Coturnix japonica: one gene and its partners. The protein of the gene in region 1 binds, or shares a complex with, the protein of each later gene. Links are inferred from orthologs where the notes say so. Each region holds a gene or a part of one and is shown on either strand. Other genes may lie near its edges.

The links.
Region 2: SNRPE (region 1) and CRIPT share a complex: the UniProt entries of both Homo sapiens proteins name them as parts of the minor spliceosome. The link is inferred for Coturnix japonica from reciprocal best matches to the Homo sapiens genes SNRPE and CRIPT.
Region 3: SNRPE (region 1) and ARMC7 share a complex: the UniProt entries of both Homo sapiens proteins name them as parts of the minor spliceosome. The link is inferred for Coturnix japonica from reciprocal best matches to the Homo sapiens genes SNRPE and ARMC7.
Region 4: SNRPE (region 1) and GEMIN2 share a complex: the UniProt entries of both Homo sapiens proteins name them as parts of the SMN-Sm complex. The link is inferred for Coturnix japonica from reciprocal best matches to the Homo sapiens genes SNRPE and GEMIN2.
Region 5: SNRPE (region 1) and LSM4 share a complex: the UniProt entries of both Homo sapiens proteins name them as parts of the U4/U6-U5 tri-snRNP complex. The link is inferred for Coturnix japonica from reciprocal best matches to the Homo sapiens genes SNRPE and LSM4.
Region 6: SNRPE (region 1) and PRPF4 share a complex: the UniProt entries of both Homo sapiens proteins name them as parts of the U4/U6-U5 tri-snRNP complex. The link is inferred for Coturnix japonica from reciprocal best matches to the Homo sapiens genes SNRPE and PRPF4.
Region 7: SNRPE (region 1) and BUD13 share a complex: the UniProt entries of both Homo sapiens proteins name them as parts of the minor spliceosome. The link is inferred for Coturnix japonica from reciprocal best matches to the Homo sapiens genes SNRPE and BUD13.

The regions. Positions count from the first base shown.
Region 1 is NC_029541.1:2,016,117-2,020,095, forward strand, and holds SNRPE (small nuclear ribonucleoprotein E), read left to right. Parts: upstream 1-1,189; 5' UTR 1,190-1,295; coding exon 1,296-1,349; intron 1,350-1,881; coding exon 1,882-1,908; intron 1,909-2,290; coding exon 2,291-2,353; intron 2,354-2,446; coding exon 2,447-2,525; intron 2,526-3,201; coding exon 3,202-3,257; 3' UTR 3,258-3,479; downstream 3,480-3,979. Other genes in the region: MTCH1 (mitochondrial carrier homolog 1), read right to left, coding at 892-1,089. UniProt on the Homo sapiens protein: Plays a role in pre-mRNA splicing as a core component of the spliceosomal U1, U2, U4 and U5 small nuclear ribonucleoproteins (snRNPs), the building blocks of the spliceosome.
Region 2 is NC_029518.1:23,889,933-23,894,194, forward strand, and holds the start of CRIPT (cysteine-rich PDZ-binding protein), read left to right. Parts: upstream 1-1,462; 5' UTR 1,463-1,495; coding exon 1,496-1,565; intron 1,566-1,659; coding exon 1,660-1,725; intron 1,726-2,390; coding exon 2,391-2,445; intron 2,446-3,182; coding exon 3,183-3,286; intron 3,287-4,262. Other genes in the region: PIGF (phosphatidylinositol-glycan biosynthesis class F protein), read right to left, coding at 1,036-1,263. UniProt on the Homo sapiens protein: As a component of the minor spliceosome, involved in the splicing of U12-type introns in pre-mRNAs. Involved in the cytoskeletal anchoring of DLG4 in excitatory synapses.
Region 3 is NC_029533.1:9,330,758-9,334,397, reverse strand, and holds ARMC7 (armadillo repeat-containing protein 7), read right to left. Parts: upstream 2,344-3,640; 5' UTR 2,221-2,343; coding exon 2,154-2,220; intron 2,076-2,153; coding exon 1,932-2,075; intron 1,471-1,931; coding exon 1,133-1,470; 3' UTR 501-1,132; downstream 1-500. UniProt on the Homo sapiens protein: As a component of the minor spliceosome, involved in the splicing of U12-type introns in pre-mRNAs.
Region 4 is NC_029520.1:34,106,523-34,109,622, reverse strand, and holds the end of GEMIN2 (gem-associated protein 2), read right to left. Parts: intron 2,724-3,100; coding exon 2,679-2,723; intron 2,178-2,678; coding exon 2,109-2,177; intron 1,675-2,108; coding exon 1,564-1,674; intron 1,400-1,563; exon of another isoform or gene 1,348-1,399; coding exon 1,289-1,347; exon of another isoform or gene 956-1,288; coding exon 916-955; 3' UTR 501-915; downstream 1-500. UniProt on the Homo sapiens protein: The SMN complex catalyzes the assembly of small nuclear ribonucleoproteins (snRNPs), the building blocks of the spliceosome, and thereby plays an important role in the splicing of cellular pre-mRNAs.
Region 5 is NC_029543.1:3,006,002-3,009,986, reverse strand, and holds the start of LSM4 (U6 snRNA-associated Sm-like protein LSm4), read right to left. Parts: upstream 2,801-3,985; 5' UTR 2,686-2,800; coding exon 2,683-2,685; intron 2,559-2,682; coding exon 2,517-2,558; intron 2,389-2,516; coding exon 2,290-2,388; intron 142-2,289; coding exon 1-141. Other genes in the region: PGPEP1 (pyroglutamyl-peptidase 1), read left to right, coding at 3,075-3,108. UniProt on the Homo sapiens protein: Plays a role in pre-mRNA splicing as component of the U4/U6-U5 tri-snRNP complex that is involved in spliceosome assembly, and as component of the precatalytic spliceosome (spliceosome B complex).
Region 6 is NC_029532.1:813,639-817,745, forward strand, and holds the start of PRPF4 (U4/U6 small nuclear ribonucleoprotein Prp4), read right to left. Parts: upstream 2,801-4,107; 5' UTR 2,765-2,800; coding exon 2,690-2,764; intron 2,508-2,689; coding exon 2,330-2,507; intron 2,136-2,329; coding exon 1,949-2,135; intron 1,752-1,948; coding exon 1,664-1,751; intron 1,448-1,663; coding exon 1,368-1,447; intron 1,150-1,367; coding exon 1,056-1,149; intron 484-1,055; coding exon 389-483; intron 92-388; coding exon 33-91; intron 1-32. Other genes in the region: anaphase-promoting complex subunit CDC26, read left to right, coding at 2,894-2,974, 3,062-3,235. UniProt on the Homo sapiens protein: Plays a role in pre-mRNA splicing as component of the U4/U6-U5 tri-snRNP complex that is involved in spliceosome assembly, and as component of the precatalytic spliceosome (spliceosome B complex).
Region 7 is NC_029539.1:4,398,579-4,402,173, reverse strand, and holds the end of BUD13 (BUD13 homolog), read left to right. Parts: intron 1-55; coding exon 56-149; intron 150-485; coding exon 486-591; intron 592-970; coding exon 971-1,109; intron 1,110-1,330; coding exon 1,331-1,515; intron 1,516-1,666; coding exon 1,667-1,748; intron 1,749-2,085; coding exon 2,086-2,179; 3' UTR 2,180-3,095; downstream 3,096-3,595. UniProt on the Homo sapiens protein: Involved in pre-mRNA splicing as component of the activated spliceosome. As a component of the minor spliceosome, involved in the splicing of U12-type introns in pre-mRNAs.

The DNA of each region.
Region 1 (3,979 bases):
GTATATATGTTTATATATGAGTTCCCATTCCCTGTTATACAGCTGTCCCTGATGCAGCAATATCCCAATTCCCACAGTGCTCCCCATTCCATCCTCACAGCTACAGGTGGGATCCATACACACAGATAACGGTGACTGAGTGCCACCCCATCACACAGCACGACCCTCCTCACCCCATTACCCCCCTCAACACATTATAAGGAGGGAACCCCCATTGCCACATATGGGGGATTCCCTTTACACAGGGTCCCCATAGCCCCCTATGGGGTTCCCCATCATTACACAGGCCGTCACCCCCATATTAACCCCCTCAACACATTATAAGGAGCTCCCATTGCCACATATGGGGGGTTCCCTTTACACAGGGTCCCCATAGCCCCCTATGGGGCTCCCCATCATTACACAGGCCATCACTCCCCCATTACCCCCCTCAACACATTATAAGGAGCTCCCATTGCCACATATTGGGGGGTTCCCTTTACACAGGGTCCGCCATAGCTCCCTATGGGCGTTCCACCATCATTACACAGCCTCACCCCCCATATTAACCCCCTCAACACATTATAAGGAGCTCCCATTGCCACATATGGGGGGTTCCCTTTGCACAGGGTCCCCATAGTTCCCTATGGGGTTCCCCATCATTACACAGGCCGTCACCCCCCATTACCCCCCTCAACACATTATAAGGAGGGAACCCCCATTGCCACATATGGGGGGTTCCCTTTGCACAGGGTCCCCATAGTTCCCTATGGGGTTCCCCATCATTACACAGGCCGTCACCCCATAGAGACGCCCCACGACCCCCCCTCACACCTCGGCCTACACCTCAGGCCTCCCCCCTGCCCCCACACGGGGGTCTCATCCCCCCCACACCCCCTTTAGGCCCCGGACCTGGACGAGCAGCTTGACGTAGAGCAGGGGGTGGCTGACGGCGGCGAGCCCAGCGCCCAGAGCCACGAACAGCCCCTCGGTACCGTCGGTTCGGCCCGGTCCGACCCCAGGCCCAGACCCGCCGCCAGGGGGCGCCAGCGCCACCGAGGGCAGCGGAGCTTCGCCCGCCATGGCCCCGCCGCCGCCACCACTGCGCATGCGCCGCCTCTTTGCGTATTGGTGGGCGGGATCTTAATGCGAGACAGCACTGGTGGGATCTGCGAGCAGTAGAGACGCGGTCCTCCCGCTTTCCTAGAGCGGCAAGTCTTCCAGCGTCCCTTGCGCGTTCCCGCCTTGCTCAGCGGCTTCCGGTGTTCTCTGCGACTTCCGGCGGAGCTTGTGGTGGCGGCGGGCAGGGAGTAGCCATGGCGTATCGAGGGCAGGGCCAGAAGGTGCAGAAGGTGATGGTGCAGCCCATCGTATCCTTGTCCGGAGGGGCAGGGGACGGGCCTGCGGGGCCTATGGAGCCTATGGGGCCTATGGGGCCTATGGGGCCTATGGGGCCTGTGGGGCCTATGGGGCCTATGGGGCCTGTGGGGTCTATGGGGCCTATGGGGTGTGTGGCCCTATGGGGGAATCTATGGGGCCTATGGGGTCTGTGGGGCCTTTGAGGCCTATGGGGCCTGCGGGGTCTCTGGGGCCGAGTGGGACCTTTGGGACCTATGGAGCCTGTGGGGCCTGTGGGGCCTGTGGGGCCTGTGGAGCCTATGGGGTCTATGGGGCCTGTGGGGCCTATGGGGTCTCTGGGGCCTGCAGGGCCTATGGAGCCTATGGGGTTTCTGGGGCCTGTGGGGTCTCTGGGGCCGAGTGGGACCTATGTAGCCTGTGGGGTCTATGGGGCCTATGGAGCCTATGGCGTCTCTGGGGCCGATGGCGAGTGGAGGGTAGGAGCGGCCCTGCAGGGCCTTGTGTCTCTCTGGAGTTGTTCCCGTCCTTAACGCTGCTCTACAGAACCTCATCTTCCGCTACCTGCAGAACGTGAGTACTGGGGCCGGGGCAGGGCTGGGTTCGCCTTTGGGTTTGTAACTTCTTGGCTGCTTTTGGAGCCCATCGGCTTCAAACGAAGAACTGGTGCTGTTTGGGAGCATAAGAGCTGGCTCAGAGATGAGCGTTCTCCCTTTGCATTAACACCTTTGTATGTTGATTGTGCCCCTGTGTGTGTAACACACACTCAATAACCCACACCTACAAGGTTCTGTGTTGGGAGTTGCTCTTTGGGGTGTTTCAGAGCTGCAGTGGCTGTTGGTTGCAAAGATTTCTCACCACATTACTAGCAAGGCTTTCTTAAATGCACAGAAGCAAAGACCAGCATTGCTTGAAGCATTTCTTTTCCAGTTTATTCACCCTGATTGTTTTGCAGAGGTCCAGGATCCAGGTGTGGCTTTATGAGCAGGTGAACATGCGGATAGAAGGCTGCATCATTGTGAGTACCAACATGTCCATGTGTTACCATTGGCTTTCCCACGTTCATGAGTCTGTGTGCTACCAACTGAGTGTTTTTGCCACTGATTTTCAGGGCTTCGATGAATATATGAACCTGGTGCTGGATGATGCAGAGGAGATTCACTCCAAAACAAAATCAAGGAAGCAGCTGGGTATGTCAACGTGTTATAGCATGAAAGGTGGTTGGGTGAGCCTTGCTGGTAGCAACACTTAAAGGTGGAAAGCACATGCCAGGTGTTGGTTTGGGAGAGCATTGGGCAGGTGCTGGCTCAGTCTTTGTTCCTGATGTTTGTTAAAGGTGATGATTTTGCTGAATGTAAAGGAGAATCTCCCTGTGCCTGAGACCAGTTGTTATCTTTTAAATGCTGTCTTTGTACAACTGAGGTGTCTGGAGGAGTCTGGTCCAAACTCCTTTGGGCTGTTTCTAAACTTGGTAGCCCTGAGCAATTCTCGTACCTGCTGGGTCAACTCTTGGCCAAAGCAGGAGCCACCTGACTGGTGGTATTTACTATTTACCGCTGCTGGAGAAGATAAAGCTGTCTGTGATGAGGGGATGCGTTGATTCGGATTGAGTTTATAGCAGGGACAGTGTTCTGCTGGGGCTGAGATGGTGTCTGAGAGTTGGGAGTGGATTATGAGTATGGACCCTGCCCTGCTATGCTTTCCATATGGGGCTGCCAGCAGGGATAGGACTCATTGCAACCCTCCCCCTCTATAATAGGGGCATCTTCTTGCAAGCATCTCCTGTTGTGGGATAATATGTGAAAACATGAGGTATTCTTGGATTCTGGGATCTCTCTAATCCCCCATTTCCTTTCTGTGTTGCAGGTCGGATCATGTTAAAAGGAGACAATATCACTCTTCTACAAAGTGTTTCTAACTAGAAATCGCTGTTCTTAGGGCAGTGATTGCAGTTCAGAATGGTTTGGAGTGAATGAAGAAGGTGCAGTGGGAGATCTACCCCTGCTGGTAGATAGAAAGTTACATGTAACTGGCATTGCATGCTGAGCTCAAAGTCCCCTCCTTTTGTAGGAGTGATTTTTTTTGTAGTCTGAAACAATAAGGGATGTATTTCCCAAATAAACATTTTTCACGTTGTCTGTAAACGGAAATCTGCATGGTTTTATTCTCAGCTTTCTATGCTTGGAGAAGGCAGAGAAATGTACATCAAGTGATTTGCTGTTGGTCCGATAAGTTCCTGATAGCTCTGTGCTTTTTGGGTAGTTACAACATGAGACAGGACAGGCTCTGGTGTCACTGTCAGGCTTGAGCATGCATGGCTCTAATTAAGTTTGTTAGAGGTTCTACGTGCAATTACCACCCTTTGTTGTCAAAACAGCTGGTTCCTTGGGTGCTTTCTGGTGGATCAGTGGGTTGGTGATGGATTTGAGGCTGTGATACAGTGATCCGACATCACAAACTATATTAATAGCTGTACTTTGGTAAAATATCATCATTAGATAGGGCAGCTGGTTGGGATTAAATCTATAATTTCTTCTTTGGGCAGCATCTCTGCATTAAATCCTAGTGCTGGGATGTCAGATGTGGCTGGATTTTATCACTATTATCCATGTAAGGATCTGTCCTATTTAAGTTTCCATAAGTG
Region 2 (4,262 bases), on another chromosome or scaffold:
CTCACTTGGCCACATCTTTGATATTTATACATATGCTAGGCTGGGATGAAACCTCACCTAGAACACATAAGCCTACTTCATTTTCAAATCACAGATGGTTAAAAGACTTGTTTTCCATGATGTTTTCATGTATTTTATATCCCCTCTGTCAGCAATTAACAGTTTTACATACAAAGATACTACTTTCTTGGATGACTGCTTAACTCTTTTAAGAATCACTGTAAGAGCACTGTCTGACACAGCTGGTGGGGTTGCACGACTAAGCTGACTTCAAATTGTATTCTACCACTCCTGACCCAGCTATGTTTTACTCCTCTAACCTGTTAAATTAGGATCCACACCCTCAATGGTCCTATTACAAACTGTAACTACAAAGAAATCTCCCAGATTTAATTTCTGCAGATTTAGTCATTCAATGAAATGCAATTGTTCTGACACTTTTCAACTTCACTTTTTATAGTTTACCAACTTTCAGTGAGTCACAATGGCTTCAGTTGGTGGGGGCCTCAAAGCCCACCCATTTCCAACCCCCTGCCATGAGCAGGGCTGGCCACCACCAGCTCAGGCTGCCCAGACCCCCATCCAACCTGGCCTTAACACCTCTGGGGATGGGGCACCACAGCTTCTCTGGGCAGCTGTGCCACTGCCTCATCAAGTTTTAGTAGTAATGAGCTGTTCCCAATTTTACATCTCAGTTCCTACACAAAGAACAAAGCAATACTCTGCAATAACGAAGGTCAGGCCTAGACTGCAAAGTGAATTTCGTGCCCACTCTGGTGTGCCCCAATTCCTACCAGCATGCAGTCAGTGATAGACTTGTGACTACAAATCACAACCCCATGGGCAAGAAGTGTCAGGGATGCTCAGCCCAGAGGGCTGCTGGCAGGTGCAGACAGAGTTAAGCTCTGCAACTCATGGAAAACAAGAATTCACCACCAGAAGTTGTAACTTCTTTCTCATCACATCATTTCAGTGACAGGCTTAGCATCCTCTCCACATCACTCGATAGGAATCTAAGAAAGAAACAAATCTTACCTTGTTAGACAGCGAGCTTCTCTTAGAAGACGGACTTGGCTTTAGGATTAAACACAAGGTTACGTTAAGGACGCTAACACAGACAGAACAAACACACAGCCACGTGAGGTGAGTGCCCAAAACCGAGAACCCATCCAGGAACAAGGCCGGTACGAGTGCGGTCAGGACGATGGAGACGAAGCAGAGCAGGTTGGCAGCCAGCAGCCTCCTCAGCTCTGCCTCCTTCATGGCGCCGTGCCGCCGGCCACCTGCAACACAGCGAGCGGCACTCGGTCAGCGGGACTCAGCCGCACCAGCGGGGCAATGAGGGCGTTCTGGGGGAGAAAAGGGCTTTTTAGTGGTAGATTAACGACCCTCACGCTCGCACAACGTCCTAGGTCAGGCTCGCCCCGCGGGGCGGCCTAACAACGTGCGGGGCCCACCTGGCCCGTACCCGGGACGCCGGCCGCCCGGCAACGGGATGGCGTCAGCTCCGGGGCGGGTCCGGAAGCGGCGGTTGTTGTGCTGGGCGGCCATGGTGTGCGAGAAGTGTGAGTAGGGTGGGATTGGGGGGATCCCGGCACTAAGCGGGGTCTGAGGGCAGCGCAATTCTAATCGTTTATTTCGTGGTGTTTCTTTCCGTAGGTGAGAGGAAGCTGGGCACCGTGATCACTCCTGATACGTGGAAGGATGGGGCGAGAAACACCACAGGTAGTGTCGGTCGCTGGGTGTTCCCTGCGGGTCGTCCGGAGGGTTCGGGGGGCAGCCCCAAAGCCTGCTGGAGTTACCGGGTTGGCCCTTCACTGCTGTAGTTTCCATTGAGTGCAGTGAAGGGTTGTTTACCTCGAGCTTTTTGGCGTTGAATTTGTCCATCTCATTGCAGCCTTCCGTATTTAAAATGGGATCATTACCGGGGGGGGGGGGGGGGGGGAGAATCAACTTTTTACTTGAATAGGTAATGATAGAATGAGAGGTAATGGTTTTAAGCTCAAAGAGGGAAGGTTTAGATGGATGTTAGGGGAAGCTCTTCACACAGAGTGGTGAGGTGCTGGGGAGACTGCCCAGAGAGGCTGTGGAGGTGGTGAAGACCAGGTTGGATGGAGCCCCAGGAAACTTGGTTTAGTACCAGATCTGGAGGTTGGTGGCCCTGCCTGTGGCAGGGTGCTGGAACTTAACCATCCCTGGGGGGTCCCTTCCAACCCAACACTTTCTATGTTTACATTATGATCTTTCCCCTCATGTGGAAGGATGATATGCAGGGCCTGCCCATGCTATGTGCTTCATGCTTCACTTTGCTCTGATCACACATGCCCACATGTGGCAGTTGGAAGCTGGACTGTGAAATGCATTGCCTTGTGGTTGTATTTTTTTTATAGAAAGCGGTGGCCGTAAGCTGAATGAAAACAAGGCGTTGACCTCAAAGAAAGCAAGGTTAGTATTTAATCCTCATTTCAGCTTAAAAAATAATTCAATTTTCTGTAACTGAGACCTTGCATTCTCACAAAGCAGGGTAATTCCTCAAAACTTGTCCAAAATACAACTTAATTTATTCATTTCTTTTAACATGTTAATCCTTGGTGGCAGTGTGTATTTATGTATTTCATTGGGGCTTTCTGTGGAATTACAGAGCATGGGCAGCTGTATTGCTGTGGGCATCCCTAAAATTGGTAGGAATTGCTGTTTGTGTTAAGAGAGGGGCTGAAAAGGCTGTTTGTCTCTGTTTGTTGCAGGAGAGTTGGACTAGATGACATTTAAAGGTCCCTTCCAACTCACATGATTCTGTGATCTTCCATGCTAACATTACCTGTTCAAACGCTTGAGCATCTCCTTAATGTCTAAAGGATATTCTGTTATGCCAGGGGCAAGCCATTGTTGAAATGTATTTTGACTTTGAAATAGGCTTGTATCTTAAGAACAATGTGTGGTTTTAGTTCATCATTTATTAATTTAATTTCTATAACACAAGAAACCTCTCTTAATGGAGAAAATGGGAGGTTTTTTGTAGAAATTCTGTAGTCTATTAGAGTTGACCTCTTTATGTCCCTGTTTTTGATTGCAGTTTTTGCTGGAGTTTTTGTCTATTTCCTCTCGCATAGCATTTTTAGTATGAGATGAAGGAATTACTTTATTTCACTGTGCATAAACAAAGTACTTCTCCATTTTTCCAGGTTTGATCCTTATGGAAAGAACAAATTTGCAATATGTCGAATTTGTAAGAGTTCTGTCCATCAGCCAGGGTCTCACTATTGCCAAGGATGTGCCTATAAAAAAGGTGAGTTTCACTGAGAACTTTATTACCCCGCTTTGATTTGGAATTAGAGACCAAGTAGAAGTCTTTGATTTTGTTCTGTGAGGAAAAGAGAAGGCTGTGATGAGATTCAGTTACTGTCTTCAGCTAATAATAGGAAGGTATAGAAGGTGCACTGAGCCCCCATCACAGTGCACAGTGATGGAGAAGAGTGCAGAATTCTTTAATTCCATGTGAATAAAATAATTTTCACCATGAGGGTGGTCAAACATTGTAATAACAGGGACTCAGAACCCTTATGAAATCTCTACTGGAGAATATAAAATTTTATCAGTCTTGTGAATTTCAGGGGGCAAGCAAAATGGCTCAAACTTGTAATCCATGGGGGGAAAATAGTGCAACATGAACTCGGTTACCTTCTTACTATTGAAGAATTCACTCAGCACGCAGACATGGGCTGGATGAATTGTTAGATGTAGAGTCACAGCTAACTGGTAGTGATTTTTGTTTATGGAATAATGTTAATTGTTCTACAACTTCACACTGTGTCACTGAGTACATGGTTTGGAAGTCTGCTAACGGAGGGCTGCCTCTGGGTCATTAGTCTTCTCTGTTTCAACTCTCAGCTATTCTTGGTGTCCATTATATTTCTCTCTCGCACACTGTAATTAACTTAATTCTGTGAAACTGTATTCTTCTCAGCTTTCTCAGTTGCCGGTTAATCTTTCATTTAGCAATCAGTTTCTTGGCGCCTGTATTTCCTTAACCTTGCTACTTTCTGTCCATCTCAGGCTACAGGAATTCTAAAGTTTAGTTATATGCTATTTTTACCCGTTTGCCAGTTGGGATCCTTTTCCTGGCTGGCCTCCAGTAGTTCAGCAAATTCGAGGCTTCAGGTGCTGCTGTGAATCATAATGCTCTTAAAATAGAGTTTATTTTTTAAGTGGAAGTGTTACATGTATATTGCAATTATTAATTTGTGTTAAAAATCATATTACTA
Region 3 (3,640 bases), on another chromosome or scaffold:
AGGTTCCCGCAGCGCACAGCGGAGCCGCCTGGCCCCGCACTAAGGCCAGGCCGGCAGTTCCACCCGCTTGTGGCCGGAGGTTCCACTCGGGGCCGTGGTGCCGCCAGGGGCCGCTCGGCTTCATGCGGGGGTTGCGGGGTTCACCTCACGGTGCCTCGTCCTGGTGCGGCCGGAGCCGCAGTGATGTTATGAAGAATAACTATAAAGACAAACAGCCAGCTGTGGTGTAAGCTCACTATGGCGTGTTTTGAGCTGAGTGGAGGGGGAGAAAGCAGAACTCTGGAACTCGCAGCCTTTCAGAAGCACCGTGGTAAAGGGCCACCCCGTTCTATGCCTTTGGGCAGTTTGCCGCCCTGGCTCCAGGTTACCTTTTGCACGATTGGCTGATCATAAAAGGAGAGCAAAGTGGCTCCAACTCCCAGCCCACGTGCATTAGTGGGAGCAGCAGAGGCTGCGCTGCAAGAGCTGTACAGGAACATTTACGAGCTTACACAGAACTGTTTACACAACAGCTCCGTTAATGTTTTATTAAGAAAAGGCTTTTCTTGTGAACCTGAATGCCATAAACCCTTTTCCTACCTGCACCTTTCTCACCAGTGGTAATGAGGGAAATACAGCTTTCTGCTTCCTGACCTATGGGATAGCTATCACCTGTTCTAGGGCAGGATGATAAGACAGTATGTATAGTACCAAAGGTATGTAATAGGATTGCAAATTACCAGGGCAGGGAAACGCATTTCTTCTGCAGGAGGGATGAAGTTTGGGTCATTTCAAAGTCATCTGAGTTGACACTGGAAAGCTGTGGCAAAATCAGCCAGGAACTGGAAGTGATACAAGCTGAACAATAACCCGAGCAGAGAAAGTAACTGCTATAAGGGTTATACCTGTAAGCTGGTTCAGAGCTGCACAGCAGCCATCACCTTTTTTATTTAAAATATTTGCTTCCATTTTCAGCCACGTTCTTGGCCTGTTATAGTGCTGTATGGTCCTTTTCAATACTAACTAAAATCCAATGCTAGTCTGATTTCCTGCTTTACTGTTCTCATCACACTCTTGACCTACTCAGCATTAGGTGCAGACCTGAGCAAACAGGGGGTGCTCCTCGCAGCAGCTCCAAGCTGCTCTGACAGCTTCAATCCTTCGGGAGAGGAATCCCCACCGCTGTGTGTTTGCTCAGGTTCCTGGCCTCTTCCACCTGCAGGGGCGTGCAATAATCCTCCAGGAAGATCGTGGCCAGATTGCTCAGCCTTCTGCTGGCCGACAGGGAGAAGCGAAGCATGCATTCCACCACCGGGAGAGCTGTGGTCTGCTGGCACGACTGCGGCGTTGTCAGATACATCAGGGCTGTGACTGCTGACATGACTGTCTCTTCGTTGGAGCTGGAGAGGCAGTTTATTATGGGCTCTACCCCATTGGCCTCCAGGATATAGTCTTTGTTAGTTTTATCCAAGCACAGGTTGCAAAGACCACCTGAAATAGCGAAAAAAGCATCTGACACATGCAAGACAGATTCTTTCTGCAGCCTCATCCGGACACACTCCATGCTCTGAAGGGCACCTCATCTGGGAATGAATGGCAGCAGCTGGAGCACGTTCCGTCTGTTGGTACCAGCAGTTGGGCCCTGACCTGTGTGGTGCCGGCACTGAGTTGTCCGCAGACGGACACTCCATCTTTACTACTTTTCTTAAGGCAACATGCACAGACAGTTTCCCTGTGTGGTAAGGGGGCAATCGGTCTTCAAGGTACCAGGAATTAAATGATGGGTTTTTAATTGCCCTACGTTGCCTTTTATTTTCTCCTGTCCATCTCAGTGCAGTGATGGCATTTATGGCGCCGTGTGGCTGCAGCGTTTATTTTCATTTTCCCCGGTTTGTTACCTGTGTTTTAGAGAAACAGGGAAAGCATCGGGGCGCACCCAGCGCTGTGCTCACCCATAGCGAATTCCACCAGGGTCTCGTCGTCCTCCGTCAGCATGTCGAGGAACAGGTCCAGCACCTGGAGCTGCCGCAGATACTCGTAGTTCTTGGGGTCGTAGGCGAAGTTGGCCAGGTTGGCCAGCACCTGCCGCCTGGCCTCTGCCGGGGAAGCAACGCGTCAAACGGGGCAAGGGGGGCTGTGGTAGATGGAGATTTCGCTTTTGTACGCGGGGTTACCTGGGCTGTCTGTCACCTGGAACTCCGTGACGAGGGCCTGCAGGTACTCCAACCTGCCCAGCTCCATCCCGAGCTGAGAACCAGAACCAGCCGATCAGCTGGACCGCGCCGCCGGCACGGGGCACAACGGGGCGCTCCGGACACCGGCGGCCGCCATGTTGTGGGCGTTACTCCCCGGCCGCCATGTTGTGGGCGGTGCGGCTGCTGGCTGCGCTCCGCGTGCGGGGCGGGCTGTGGGCAGCTCATGTGCGTCAATAAGTGAAGGCACATATCACTGCTGCACTCTGTATCTGGCAAACACGTGTTTTTATCGTTTCCCCCCTTTGTTCTGCACAGTTCTTCACCTTTCCCTGCCACCTGGTTGCTTGCCCCCCAGGCCTCAGAATTTACACCCCCGCGTGTGCTTCTCGTGCCTGTAACTGTGTTAGTGCACTTGAAGCGACATCTGTCATTACTAATATGGACCAGAGCGGGGCTGGTGTGAGAAGGGCAGAGAAGAGAAAGCAAACAAGGAGAAGCAAACCGACAGAAGTGTTTGAGGACAGTGGGACTGAGCAATAAGGGGAGGAGCGCGTTGCATTGGAGGAGGAAAATGCAGCGCTGAGTTCCCAGGTACCGTGTGTGTGTGTGGGCAGTCAGTAGGATTTTGCAAGCACAAAACCAATGGGAACTTTGTCCCCTGCAGTGATTTCACTGCGAGCAGCGTTTAGGAACAGCCCGTGCTGGTCGGGTGGTGCATCCCCGAGAGCTGCACCCTGCGGGTCACACTGCAGCGCTGCTGCTCACCTCACTGCGAGCTGCGTGCTCTGCTGCTTCTAGATTCTATCTTGTTTTGAGTCTAATCCAGGCTGGTTAACGGATGTGAGGAACATTGTGCATTTAATTTGAGCTGTCCCATAGAGTTTGGTAACATTCCCAGGTCTGTGGTCTGCAGAGATGTTCTGTAAGGGCTGCAGGCTGTGCTCGTGCTGCTTACATGACTGAGTGCATCTGATCATCACCGTGTGCTGCAATGCTGCAGGAAGTTTTCCTGGTCGTACACAACCATCTCTTGGCAGCAGTGCTGGCTCAGGCTGTTTGTGCGGGTGATGTGGGCCATATTTTGTCCATGTTGCACAGGCTGCCTGAGCATAGCTGTGGTATTAACAGCCTTAGGGGTAGTCTAATGACAGTGGTGCCCATTGATATCTCAACAGAGTTAGAATTTGGTCAATTTCAGGTTCTGGTGGGTGTGTTTCTTTTCTTGCAGTTACTGACTGGGTCTGCAAATTTTGCCAAACTCTTCATTTGAGTGATTTTGCAGTTCTGAGGTGTTTTAGAGTACGTAAGTTTGCCGTGACCTTTTGGGTTTGTTTGTTGTTTGTTTTGTTTTTAATTAAAGTTTTCCAAGATTTACCCTGGCAGACTATCTGAGTCTTATAAGGTTCACAGTTTTGCAATATTTCAAATGAACTTCCTGGTGAATGTTTCATAGCAGTAGGAAAAGG
Region 4 (3,100 bases), on another chromosome or scaffold:
AGTCTGCTGTTACCAGCAGAAATGAGAGTTCCTTTAAATTGGATTTTCAATTGTTGAAGATAATTAGGACCCAACAGAATCATGTATGTATGAAGCAGACACCAATATTCTTGGCAAAGCACTCCCTGTTCAATATGTTAAGTCAAGTAGGTGAGCTAATGTATTTGTCAAGATTCCATACAGAAAATAAGTTTGTCCATTGTGTTTAATAGATGCTTCTGTTGAAGAGTACTGAGTACAGCTGTGCCTTTTCCCCTGGCTTCTGCTACTTTCCACTGTAAAGCAGCAAACTATTACTCAGGAAATCTATGTACTACCTCCCTTTATGTTTTTGTAACATAATTGTATCAGTAATTCACTGGCTATAGTTGTACTTCATTAGTAGTATTTAAGTTCAGGAACTATATCCTGAAAAAAACACATTGGATCCCAGTTGTGTAGGCTTCTGAAGTTCTGAAGGCAGTTGTTAAGTACTATGAAGACTGAGAATAGCCACAATGTTTAAGAACACTTTAAGGTATGTTTCAGTTTTATTAAAAAAAGACCTCAAGGGTTGTGTGTTAGGTAACGAACAGTCGTCTGTGACATCTGCTTAAACTTAGAAGTCTTTACCTAATGGCAGCATCCACAGGATTACTCAGATGGTAAAAATTTATAATGAACAATCTACTACACTACAACAGTTGTTTGAGGGATAACGAGAGATGATTCATGGACCATTTTATGATGAGGATACTGAAGAGTAGTACCCTCATGCTAAAGATCAGCTTACGTTATTCACAGCTGTTCCAAATATATTACTATGTTGAGGGTGCTCTGAAGAAGTTGTATTGTACTTCACAGGAAGACACTGCATGCTTCAGACCTGTATGCTGGTTGTACTATGGCAACACAAAATGGTTTTCTCAAAAAAGTCTAGGAGGGCTCATCAGCTAAATCACGTTGATCAAAGTACCTAGGGGAGAGAAATGGAATACAGTAAGAAGACTCTAATGCAACACACTCCTTACTTTGATCTGAGTTGTTAAACTATCTGCTTTCCAGGCTTTAATTTAGTATTTCTATCATATTTATAGCTTCACGATTGAGGGAGATCACCAAAGAAAACTAGTGTGTCTCCTCTGTTTTAGTCTTAAGTTTGTCTGGAGTCCTTGTAACTAAGTATGTCTGCTACATATATCCAGACTGCTTGGACTGACTTTCACTTTAAAGGAATCTATGTTAGCACAAGGATAATCACGCTTATTCTGGACATGCTCTGCTATTTTATATCTGTAGTCTGCATTACCTGCTAACTAGGCAGATTAACAGGTTCAGAGCTGACACTTGCTCTTCGTTCTTGTTTTCCTGAAAGAGAAATAAATACCAGAACAGTTCCTCTGTTAACCACATCCACTAGGGAAATGTTACCTGCCATGTTATATGTTGTAGTCTTCCTCTCATTTTCTAGCAGACTTCAAATGTGAAAAATAACATGCCAAGAATTTAAGAGCTGAAAAATCACTTTCTTGATAATTAGTGAAGTTAAAACAGTCCTTTGCAGAACATTAAATTAAATCTTACCTCTAGTACTCTCACTTCTGAGCATCGCCTTGCCAGCTGTCGAATGAGGGAGTGAGCTTCAGGTAGCAAAGGTTTTTCAAGGCACGCCAACAGCGCATAAAACCATCTACCCTGTGTGGATTTAAATAGTGAGTTTTTAATTATGGGCATTTCCTTGAAGTTTTACACACTGACAACTTAACCTGATGTCACGGTTTTATGATTTTTGGTTACTGGTTTTCCACATCATAACATGATGGGAACCTCTTTTCTCCCCACCTCTCTTTCGACCTTGCAGATTAAGTTATTGTGGGGAACAAATGAAACAGAGGAGTTTTAGCAGTACCTGAAAGATCTGTATCTGTTGTTTTGTAATTACCCTTTCAGAAAGTTCTGCGTATGTTCAATGTAGTATCTAGTCAGGTGAGTTTTGAGAACAACTGAATACAGTGCACGGATCTAGAAAACTATTTGGAAACTACAGTAATTTCACAGAGAAGAGAGTATAATGTATCCCTTGTTTCATGTGCTCACATGCAAGTAGTTAGAACAAAATTAAGAATTACCAGTTCCGGAGTAAATTTTTTCTCTCCAAACCAGCTTATCAGGTATTCTAAGACACTGGTTACTGTGGCCTTCGAAAGAGAAATATAAAGACACAATGCGATATCTACAGAGTTTTGTTTTGCTGTCCTTCTGCCCAAAGGATTATATTATGTAAAGAGCAAATGTGATTTTTGTCTTTAAATACAGAAACATTATATGTTTCTACTTGGCTGTAATTCTATATGGCGTTCAGTTCAGGGTGAGATTATATGTAACTTTAACTTAAATTTAACTTAACTTAAACACTGTAAGCCCCTAAAAGATGCACTCAAACATTAGAGATTTCTATAAAGAAATTATGAGAAAATACACTTACATCTAGTTACAGTAAATGTTTGCTGGTATAACTGTAGTTAAAGGTGAGATAATATTTTTTCCTTGTAAGTGTACACTGAATAGCAGCTGAAATAAACTATCACCTTAGCACAGAAAAATAGCTGAGATTTATGCAACTGCTGGAACACAGGAAGTACTGACTTTTGCAATATCACTATGCTGTTCTAAGAGGAAGGCTTAAGATGTAGGCTTACCTGATTCATTCTGCTTACAATGCTTAGCAGAGGAGGAAAGCCCACCTGAAAAAAGTCAAGTTGGAAAATGCAGAAACATCACAAACACCTTTTTTTTCTAAGTTAGAACTTACTAACATTTAATGTTAGTATTTGTAATTGGTAATTATTTTGAATTCTGTTACAGAATAGCATGTACAAAAACAGGGAGCAACTTTACAAAACACTAAACCAGACTATGGATAAAACTTCAGCTGGCAGCGAATTAGCGTGTTTTAGCTGGGAACAGATGAGGGAACTCCCCGAACTTTTTGACTGAACTAATAGATTTGTTCTCTGCTTCACTCAATTTCAACTTAAAAGGGAAGAGAAATGGGTCTTACTGGGCTCATCAGCCAGCTTGCTTTATATTTAGCACAACGTGATAATAAACAGTAGCGTTG
Region 5 (3,985 bases), on another chromosome or scaffold:
CTGTTGCATCCCACCACGGCCTCTGCCTTTGGAGACCACCTCTTCTTTCACCATGTCAATTATCTCATCGGGGATCCGAAGGTATTTAATTGTGCTGCCACGGATGTAACACTCTGGCATCCTCCAGAACTTGTCACCATCCTATTGGGAAGCAACGTGTTAAGCTGAGAACAAAACCACGTGCACTTAAGTTGCTTTTTGACACTTGAATATCTCCATCACTTCTGAAGCGTGCGACAGATGTAATAGTCTATTCTGAATGTACAACCCATAATTAGCTGTGAAATTCCTGTTTTCCCTTTAAAACACGCAGCCCTACAACCTGCTGGGGAGTCAGGGGGCGTTCAGCCATGAGCCACTGCAGTTTCAGCCCGTTCACAACCGCCTTTGACTCTCACAGAAAGTGAAGGAAGAAGAGGAAACAGCACCTTCCCTTTGCTTCTCATACAAGAAGAGAATCGAAAGTGGGACTGGAGAGGGAAATGTGGTAAGTTCAACACAGCTGCTGCAACACGGGGCAGTTCCAGCACATAAAGCCCCAACCAGAGTCACCTACAAACTGAACCCCTTTGTGGTGTGGATTGAGCAGCGAGGAGCATCCAGCTGGGTGTGGGGTGAGCCCAGCAGCGCACAGGAACCGCGGCTGTGGAAAATAAGAGCTTACAGATCACGTTCAAAGAAACCTTCGGGTGCCAAGTTACGGAGCAGCTGCCTCTGTGTTTTGTTTAAGGCAGTTTCAGGGCTTTGCTAGGACACAGCCCATCAGGGCTTCAGCTCCTGTGGCTGTGGGAATAGGAACTGCATGTGAAAGTTGAACAACAACTGATGTAAGCGGGAGGAGGGATGGAACCTCGTGCGCACGGCCGTGCTCTGCTGCAGGGCTTGGCTGAACACAGGCTCCTCACAACTATCACACATGGACAGAGTGTCCACAACATCCCAGAGGAGTGGGTGAAACCAGAATGCCTCGTTTCACCTCTCCAGAATCAAGTTGTACCCCCCTCCTCCTCTGCTCCGGTGTTATTTGGGGCAATGCAGCATGCACAGGCAAGTTCCGTGTGTGTGAGACAAGCAGCCTTCTTCAAACAGGCACCCAGCAAACCCCACCCTGCCTGGATCCGCCCGGCTGCACTTTGGCTCTCTATGCAGGAAGGGATGGAGCCAGGTCCCCGGCTTCCTCGTTCCAGCTCCCCATGTAAACAGCTGCCGCAGCTCCATGCCATCTAGTGGCTGATCCCCACCGTGCCACCAGGAAGGCTTCCATATATACCCCCCCAGTAGCACCCAGGGGGTATTTAGGGGTGGGGAGTGAACTGCAGACCACTCGGTGGGTATAAATGCTGAAGTGCTCTGCCCACAGCAACACAAAGCTGCTTAATGAGGAAGCAGTATTAAAGGCCGGCATCCCTTGTTCTGCAAGCACTAGTAAGGCTTTGCCACTTGCCACCCCTTCCCATTGAACTTATCTGTTTATCTGCCCCAACAATCTGTGGATCCAGATTTTTAGGGCTCACTGCTCTGCTGTTATGATCCTTCTTAAACCTTTGCTTTGTTTAAGTACACACATCACATCTCCGTGCCCCAGCACTATTGGCCAATACCTTCCTGCTGTGGGTCCAACAGGCACAGAAACCCTTCCTGAAGAAGAAGGGTTTCCCTGACAGCCTCCCCCACAGACCCGTGATGTTCCCAGGCACAGAGAGCAGCAGCAGCAGCAGGAACGTGGCCAGGCACAGGCTGCCAGGGACAAGACCAGACACTTGAGGCTGAGGTCAGAGCTCAAAGCACAGATCCCAATCTCTTCTCGGAGCACTTTGGCCATGGGCAAAAGTAGCAGACGAGGCACAACCCGGTTAAACAAGAGGCCCTAATAACTTTTGATGTGGAGTTACAGGGCGTGAGGCAGGTGATGATGAAAGGCAGCACTGTGCTCGATGGGGCTGCATGGAGCGGGCAATGGGACAGGACCTGTCACCAGCCCTTCACACTGAGCACCTTCACCCTGCTGTCAATGGGCTCATTCGTTTCTTACACCTCATAACTGCGTTACATTCACATTCAAAGCAAAAGCAACACACACAGAAGGGTGAGGATCTCTGCGAGTCCCACTCAGCTGCAGGGCTGGGGGCTGATAGCAATGTGGGGTCTATGGGCGCAATGGGGGGTCTATGGGCGCAATGGGGGGGGTCTATGGGCGCAATGGGGACAACTCATTCCTGATCTGCTTTGATGCTGTTCAAAGTAGGGGGTCTATGGGCGCAATGGGGGTCCTGGCATTGAGCTGGTTACCCGTGAGGTGCAGATGACCTCCCGCAGGTTGATGTTCATCCAGTTGTCGCAGCTCACCAGGTGCCCGTTGTACGTCTCGCCGTTCTTCAGCTCCACCAGCTGGAAGAAGCAAAGGGGGGGGGTCAGCATGAAGGAACCGGGACCGACGGGGCGGCACGGGGACCCAACGGGACCCGACGGGGCGGCACCGGGCCCATAGGCCGCAGCGGGAGTGGGCCGGGACTCACCATAGGGTGGTTCTGCGCCGTCTTCAGCAACGACAGGGGCAGCTGCGGGGGAAAGAGAGAAAGGCCTCAACAACCGGGAACCGGGACCGCCTCGGATCCCCATGTAGGGGCTCAGGGAGTACCGGGACAACCGAACCGGCCCGGCCCGGCCCATTCCCGCACTCACCATCGTGCCGGAACCGCGGAGCCGCCGCCGCGCCGGGCGCTGCCGCTCAAACCACCCCCGGCCCCACACGGGACCAATCAGAGCTCGGCGCGGTCCTCGCGGAGCCAATCAGCGTGCAGGACCCGCCTCGGCCGTAAAGCATCGCCGAGGTTGGCGGTGCACAGCGTCACGACAGTGCCGTAAATTGAAACGCCGAGCGGGAAGCGGCACGGAGCGGCGCTCAGGAGGCGCTCTAGGCAGCGAGGCGGCGCGCACTCTATGGTCGCGCGGGGCCGCTCTGGTCCTCGGGGCGGCGCGTATTCTATGGCCGCGCGGGGCCGCTCTGGGCGTCGGGGCGGAGCGCGCTCTATGACCGTGCGGGGCCGGTCGCTCAGTGCGGTGCGGGAGCGGAGATGGAGAAACCGCGGAGGGCGGTGGTGGTAACGGGTACGGGCGGATGGAACGAGACCGGGGGGTGGGGAGGGGACGGCAGGGTGGGCTCTGATTCCATTATCTCAACGGGGGGGATGCGGGATTGGGAGGGGGCGGTGAGGGGCACATGGGGGTGTCGGGGTCCTGGTGGGGGTGTACGGGGATTGGGAGGGGCGCGACGGGGCTGCGGCGTGTCACAGACCCCTCCGGTTATACCCCCCCCCCCCGGTCCCCGCTGTATTTGTCCCATCTCTTGCCCCGGGGGGGTTGGGGGGTGGTCTCTGCTTCAAACATTCAGAGCTGATGGTGCTGGATCTGCCCCTGATGGTCGCACTGAGACCCCATTGCAACCCCATGAAGGTCTGCAGGGTGGGCTCAGTGCTGTGTGCCCGGCAGGACCCTGTGCTGGGTGTGGGGTGGCTGAGGCTGGGTTTGGTGCTACCCATAAAGTTGCTCATCTGATATGCAAGGAATCGATCTGGGGGTCGGTGTGGAGGATGAGTGAGGGGGCAGCTCAGTTGGGTTCAGAACGAGAGGTTTTGGTTACATTGGGGTACCTGGAAAGCTGGTGTGATTCATATTGAAACCATCCCAATGAAACACCTGTTTGGTGCTCTCACATCTATAGCTTATATATGGAGAAACAACAAGTGCATTAGGATCCTGTGGGAGCCTTCAGGAGGGTTATTATGGGGAGATATTGATGCTGGTTCCGCTTGGAGGCTCAGGTTGATACTGAGATCCCATTGAGCTGTACAAAGCCCTGTTGCTGTTGTGTGCGGTGTAACCTCAGCCCTCCCCTTCTGCTGGCAGCACATGGGAGGTTTCCATTAGTGTGTCATGTAATATTTGTGGTCCTGACTTAGATGCAGTGCGTGCCTTCTGATTGCAT
Region 6 (4,107 bases), on another chromosome or scaffold:
TACACAGGATATCAGTGAAAGTCATTCTTTACCTCGTAAGGTGTGAACAAGGTTACAGTCAGGCACAGACCACAGCTTGCACAGTCCACTCCTGTTGAACACAAGAAACAGAAGTCAGTGTAGACAGGAACATCAAACAGCTTATCAAACAAACTACACCAAGGGCTTCTGCAGTGGGAAAGTGGCAGTCTGACAAAACAGCATCTGACATGGAAACACACATGGAGCAAAAGGTGTGTCACTGAATTCCTCCTTGAGGACAAAATGGCACCTGCTGACATTCATCGACATTCCTGAATGTTTATAGAGACGAAACACTCAGTGCGGACCAGGCAAGCCAAAAGACTGGACACCATGCCCTAAAGTAAATGCTTTGAAGAGAACTTACCAACAGGCAGTAGCCAAGAGTTTGGAATTGGGACTGAAGTGGCAGTAGGACAGCGGGCGATCGTCCCCAATCTGACTACAGAAGTTATTCAAGGACTGCAACAAAATACAGAGAAAACAATGAATAAATACAAATGACTTAGGGACAGTCCTGGCCAGTGACTGAAGCAGAAGTCAGAGACCACAGGGAAATCACTTCCAAAGAGAGATGTTACCTCAGAGCTACTCTAGCCCCAAGCAGGAGGATTATGGAGTTTATCTGACTAAGAGAAACTAGCACAGCTCCATGGCTCAGCTTAGCACTCAGTATGCCACCCACCATACTTGCCACCAATCATACTGATGCCCTGCTTTGCAACTCAAGCTTTGACTGAAAAGAAGCAATCTGTTTAGCTTCAAAGGTAAGAGGCAAATCAACACAGGGATGTGTCTCTGCATCCCTCTGCAGTGCTAGAATACAACAAAAGCAGATTTCTCTGTACAACTGCAGAAACAGAGCTAGAACACGAGTACCACTAGAAGAGAGAGAAAATGCAAAGCTCTTCAAGGCGCAGCACAGCAAATTACACACATCTGGACAGCCCCTCCAGGCAGCTCGATCCTTCTGATCTCTTTGAAATTCAAGAAAAAACGTTCACAAGCAGCAGTTGAACAGATGGCAAACCTACTCGTAGGGATTTGTGCAGTTCTTGTCTCTGCGATGTCCTGGTTGCCTCTGGAATCTCTTTGAGCAGCCGGGCTTCTTCCAGACGCTTCGCTGCCCTGTGAAGAACAAAGATCAAGTACCAGATGTTCACATTTCCCATGCCTTGCTGCTAGAAACCCTCACTTCCCCATTACTGGGCTAACAGATTTGTCTACCGGAACATGTTCTTCATTCTTTTGATCTCAAATTTACTACACTACCCACAATGTGGTTAGTAGTTAAGAGTTTACAAAATGTTGCACTTCTCCCCTTCATTGATGTTAGTTTTCCTTACCTGGGAAGCGAGTAGTTAGCAAGCCACAGCCTTGCTGTTTTCAGACTCCGTGGTCCTTCATGGTACCAAGTCTGTTGATACTGTAAGGAAAAGAACAAAGCCAAAAAAAAGCTTAATGCTGCCGATTTAAACAGTGCATTGACAGTTCTGCTAAAATGGGCAACAAAGAAAAAGAAAGGGATGATTTTAGAATTTGCACCCTGACCACAACCAGGTCTTGAATGTCTCAGAGACCACCAAAATAAGGTATTCAAAGATGACTGTATAAATCTCCTCCGGCACTGAGAAATCATTACCTCTTCTTTAGACTTTTTCGACCTGTCGTCATCTTTCCTTGTCTTTTTTAATGCATCTGTGCCGACCACTGAGAGGATATTTCTTAACCTGAAAGGAAACACGTTAGGTTACGTTCACTTGGTGGACAAACACTCATTGTGTTCCATTCTTTCTTGTTATGTTGTAACCAAACACAGACCGGCAGCACTCGCTGCACGCCAACTACAAGGAAAACAGTGGGAATATGATAAAGTGGGGGAAGCTGAGCGTTCCCTCTTTGCAACACACAAGGGCAGACACAGCACCTCTCCCTCCTCTCTGCGGGACCTTCTCCAAAGAGCGTGATGGGCTCCCCGAGGGCTCGCAGACAGGCCTTCACTTCAGAGTCATCCGTGGAGACGTTGATTTGCCGGGCTCGCTTCCTGCGCTCAAACTCAGCCAAGACTTCGGCCTGTCGCTCACTCATGTGATCCTCCAGATCAAAGACCTCACCTGCACCAAAGCAAAACCATCAGCCTGGACACAGGAGCTGGACAGGAGATCCTCCTCCAACAGGAAGATCCCAACAGAGAGCTGGCAACCCAGGGAAAAGCCTCCCCTTATCAAACCTAATGTATGCTCAGATATTATTGGAGTGACTTTCGATTACACTAAATAAAGGCCACCCCATGCTGCTGTGCTCTCACCGCTGCTGATGTTGATGTTCCCGGCCTCCAGGGCCGCCTTCATTCCCTCCTTCCCCAGCAGCCCGGGCTCCCCCTTGGCCAGCCGCTCCCGCTCCTTCTCCTCCAGGCTGCCATAGAAGATGGGCGCCCTCTTGGCGGGGGGAGCATCGCCATCCTCGGACGGTTTGTTCTTCGTGGGCTGCAAAGGAAAGACAGAACCGATAGGAATCCGTGTGTGCTGAGTGCAGAGCTGACCTCATAACGGACACGGCACGGAAACCACAGGATCTTGTGATAACACCCCAAAGCCGCAGCGCTACCGGTCACAGCCCGACCCGTCACAGCCCTCCCAGCTCCGTTCCTTCCCATCTCCTCCCGTACCTCAGGCGGTGCGGGGCCCCTCACAGCCGCAGGCCGCGCCCCGCCTCGAGCCACCGGTGCCCGCACGGCCGCCATCACTGCGCTGCCCGACGGCCTAACGGAGCACTTCCGGTGACGGACAGGAAGCGGCGGGTCACACCGGGTAAACCGGAAGGGGCGGGCGGTGCGTGACAGAGCGGAAGGGGCCGGGAGGCGGCGGAAGCGATGCTGCGACGGAAACCAACGAGGTTGGAGCTGAAACTGGACGATATCGAGGAGTTCGAGGGAGTCCGGAAGGACCTGGAGGTGCGCGGGGACGGAAGGGGAAGGACCGGCAGGGGTCGGGGGTTGTCCCGGGCACCGGGGCCCTGACTCGGCCCCCCCGCCCCGCAGAGCCGCAAGAAGCAGCGGGACGAGGCGGACGTGGCGGGCGGCGAGGAGGCGGCGGGCATCGCGCTGGGAGCCGAGCACAAGAGCCGGGAGCAGCTCATCAACGACCGCATCGGGTACAAACCGCAGCACAAGGCCGGGGTCCGAGCCGCGCACTTCGGCACGTTCGAGTTCTGACGGTGCCGCTGCTCCCGGTACCGAACGGAGCCACACGAGGCTGTTTTAATAAATGGGCTTTTTTACAAACCGACACCAGCTCCTGGGTCTCCTTTGGTTGCACGGGGAAGTAAAAGCCTTCACTCAGCACAGCTGCAGCATTGACGGTTGTTTTTAAAGCACACAGCCACAGTAAAATGCATCTGCTTTATTAGTTAATTATATACAGGAGATCTTTGATACGTTACTAGATAAGTTACCTTCACAAAGAGCAAGAGGAAAATCAAAAGTGACAGTCTGCTGTAAACAAAACTATCCGTCCTTTTGGGTCTGCTGGGGCTGCAGACCAACTGAGAAGGCACTGGGGGAAATAACAGAAGCTCAGGGATGAACACAGCCTGGATACACTGTGCTTCCTACAGACATGTAAAGACAAAGTATCAGGGTGCACTCACAGACACAGCGATCACATTCTAAGCATGCTACATATGCTGACACGTGAACTTCATTTACTCAAGTCTAATAATCTAATATTAGAGTCCTCACCTCCCTCTAAGCACCACTCAACACAAGTTTAGTGTTAACACTGGGACAGCTTGAAATACAGCCAGCATAAAGGCCAGGATGGCATCCAACATCCAACGCACTAAGTGCAAGTCGGTATCACAGTGGGCAGGTTTTGCTCAGACTGGGGAAGCAAACAGCATCAGGTGGGCAGGAGGGAGGCTGGGGCACAGGGAGGCTCCTCAGGACTGTCAACAGTTACTAACCCTCAAAAGAGATGATTTCAAGGGAGGATGCACATACAGTGATGCAGAAAAGCAAGCAGGACTGAACTTATGTTATAAAAGCCGCAGCTACTGCATAGTTCCAACTTATCCTTCTCTGATTGG
Region 7 (3,595 bases), on another chromosome or scaffold:
CTCTTAAATGTGTTTAGAGCAAGTCTTCATGCTCCAATTTCTCTCATCCTCAAAGGGCTCTGCCTTCTGGAAAGGGTCAGCGTGGTTCAAGGAGTCCCTCCAATCTCTCAGATCATCGCTACCCAGATGAGAAGGGATCTCCCAAGAAGGTAAGGGGTTTGTCTTTCCGTCTGTGCTGAAGATTGCTTCCTCTGATAGCAATCATTAACAGTGTGATGGCTTACAGATGGTAGAGCAGATATATAGCTTGTAAATGCAGCTGTGCCACACTGTCAGTTTGCCATAAGACCACGTGTGAGGTAGATGGAAGATGAGCTCTGCATGAGCACTCTGTATTTCTGGAAGTCTGTGGAAGCTGTTTGCAAAGATGGCAGCAAAGTGGCTTTGTAACAGAGCTGCCTCTCGTGTAACTTCCCCTTATCATACCTGTGAGTCACTGGGCAGCTCTCAGCCAGCAGTAAATGTGATTCTTGTTTGATTTGCAGGCCAAGATGATGTCTGGGGTCAAAGCTGGTTTGGTGTCAGCTGACGTGCTGCGGAAAGAGCAGCAGGAGCTCAGGAAGCAGGAGAGAAGTAGCAAGCACTTGGAAGGTAAAAGTCTGAAACCAGTGCACAGACATCAGCTTTTAGTCTGCTTTTGGCTGCCTGTTAATGCTGTATCAGGGCATGTCTTAAAATGCTGGTAGTAAGGGTGTTGATGGAGAGTGTCTGTGTTGGCTGGCATCCAGGCATGCTGATGAATATACACAGGTAAAAGCCACTGGGTCTCTAAAATAGAAATTTATGAGTGGTGATTTCAAAGAGGTGCCAATGAGACAATTGTGAGGCTTTTGTGTCTCATCTGCCCCATCTGCTATTCCTGATCTGAAGGAGCAGGCTGTTACACCTATAGCTCATTGCATGAGCTATGGAGTGGTTTGGAAACTGAAATATTCCCACGTGAGTGACTCAGGATATCTGTTATCCCTAGAGGAATCCCGACACACGGAAACCATCTTCCGCGACAAGTCAGGCCGCAAGAGGGACCTTGTGCAGGAACGTCTTGAGCAGAAGCAGAAAGATGAAGCAAAGTTGTTGCATGATGAGCAATATGCCAGATGGGGAAAGGGGTAAGGTGTCTTGGTGACATGTCACTTTACAGGTTGCAGACTGGGGGTTGGCAATGAGTTTTGTGCCTGGGACCAGGTTATTTTGTGTGGGATTACCCTGTCTGTTGCTGGGTGCTTCTCAGGGATGCTACACACAGTAGATTCTGATCAATACTACAATTTGAGCAGATGGCAGTAAATTATTCCTTAGTTTTGAGGTGGTACTTTGTATGTGTTTTTAGATTAGCACAGGAAAGGCAGCAGCAGCAGAATGTGGAAGATGCAATAAAAGAAATGCAGAAACCATTGGCCCGTTACATTGACGATGAAGATCTGGATCGAATGCTGAGAGAACAAGAGAGAGAAGGAGACCCCATGGCTGAGTTCATCAAAAAAAGAAAAGCCAAAGAGAACAAGGAGAAGAAAGGTATGGAAAGCTGTGCTGGTGCAGGTTTTAATGCCCAAGGAGCATAGAAATGCAGCTGCTGTTCAGTGAACAGTGTGAGGTTGCTGTGGCAGCTGAGTCCTGAAGATTGCATTGTAGTAACCAATGTCTGTATTGCTGTTTTTGTCTCTAGAGAAACCTAGGTACAGTGGACCAGCACCTCCTCTCAACAGATTTAATATATGGCCTGGGTATCGCTGGGATGGGGTGGACAGGTAGGTATTCCTGATACACTGATGTCATTGAATGGTAGTAAAACTAAATGAGCTTTTGCCTCAGAGAGCTTACAGTGAGTGAGATGCAACTTATTCAACCTTAACACTTCTCATGGTTATGAATGGCTGGTAGGGACATGCTTGTCTGGGACAAAAGGGAGCCAGGTTCTGTTCTGATCTGTTGTGGCACTGCCTGCTGTTTGCCACAGCTCAGAGTGGAAACTCAGCTGGAGGTGTTGATGCAAAAGTAGTGGCAAACATGTGATGTCATTTAAAAGCTTTGTGGCTTTAGTAGATGTGCACGGTAGCCCATGGTCTTGTTGGTGTTATTTTGTAGGTCCAACGGATTTGAGCAGCAGTTCTTTGCCAGGATGGCCAATAAGAAGGCAGTTCAGGAGCTGGCATACAAGTGGAGCATTGAAGACATGTAGATAGAAGAAATAACCATGTGAAACAGCACGACTGAATTGAGATCTGCCTGCTACCACTGCCAGAGCCAAAAGTAACGGCTCCTCTGCCTGGACCAAGCACTGTTCTTGGCATTCAGTATCCCAGTGGATTGTCTTCTTGGAAGCAAGGCTGTGTTTAGAGGAGAGCTGCTGGAAAAGGATTTTCCTGCCAGCCAGAAAGGACCAGTGCCAAAAACTGGAGTGGCTGCTGCCCACAGAGGAACACTTCTGCTCCCTGGTGTTCCTTCATGAGGTGCTGCAGACACTGGTGTCTGACCCACTTATTTCTTTACTAATAAACTGTAGAAACTGTGTTGAAATGTTCTATGCCAAATGCTTTGTCCTCTGAAGGCAGTTGACAGGTCTTCAGATGTCCTAAATCTCAGGTTTATTTCATGGTGGAAGCATGCTGGGATTTAAGTCATGGAGGGTTAATCCTATCTGGTGTGTTGGCCTATTGCAGCACACGGTTGTGGTTTCAGCTATGGCTGAGTTCTTCCAGAGGGTGTTTTTTGCTCTGAAACAACTTAATACTGTGAGCTGATTTACCTGTGGGCTCATGTTATGTCTGCCCCATGTTCTCCATGTCCTTGCTAATGAGCCCAGAGAGCTTCTGCTTGTTCAATGTTGTGTAACTCTTAACCCTTCTGGTTCCTGGAGTCTTTGGCTTGCAGTGAAGTTAGCACAGCAGAGCTTCCTGTAGCCCTTATGGGAGCTGTGCCAGGTGGGTCAGTATGTGGCAAGAAGCTGCTTGCTGTACATATAACTCTAGTTCTCTACTAGAAATGGCTGAATGAACAACACGCCATGTTATATTTGACAGCAAAGTCTTCAGAAGCTCCAGCAGCTCCTTGGGGGTCAATTTCTTGTGGCAATAAACACGCAGAGGCCATTTAAACTGTTTCCCTTGGCCATTATTTTCTTCAGAGTAGCTAATGGTCATGGATTAGTCCCTACAGCTTTCTCTCTGGACAGCCTTGCTGATGGCTCTTAGCGCTGCTGCCTGGGGGCTCGCTTCAGCACGAAGCATAACCTCTCTCTTGTGATTAGATTTGTCCAGCTTGCAGCTGGAGGCCAAGCAGAGCGCTGCGCTCCATCCCTGATTGCAAGAAAGCATTTCTAACTAAAAACAACGGGTTGGTAACAGACATTGTATGGAAGGGTTACATAGCAACAGCATCGGAAGGTTGTGAGCCTGAGATGCTCTACCAATGAGTGTCACCACTGTACCTCACAACTGAACGCCACCGCTGCAAGAAGAAGCTCCCAAGCTGCTCCACCGGACCCTTTTGTTTAGAGAGCATGGATCTCTTTCTTTATTGTCTTAAGCTGTTTGTTTGGTCTGTTATCTGAGCTTCAGGTGGCAGTTTATTGATGAGCATCCAGATGAAGTGAAGC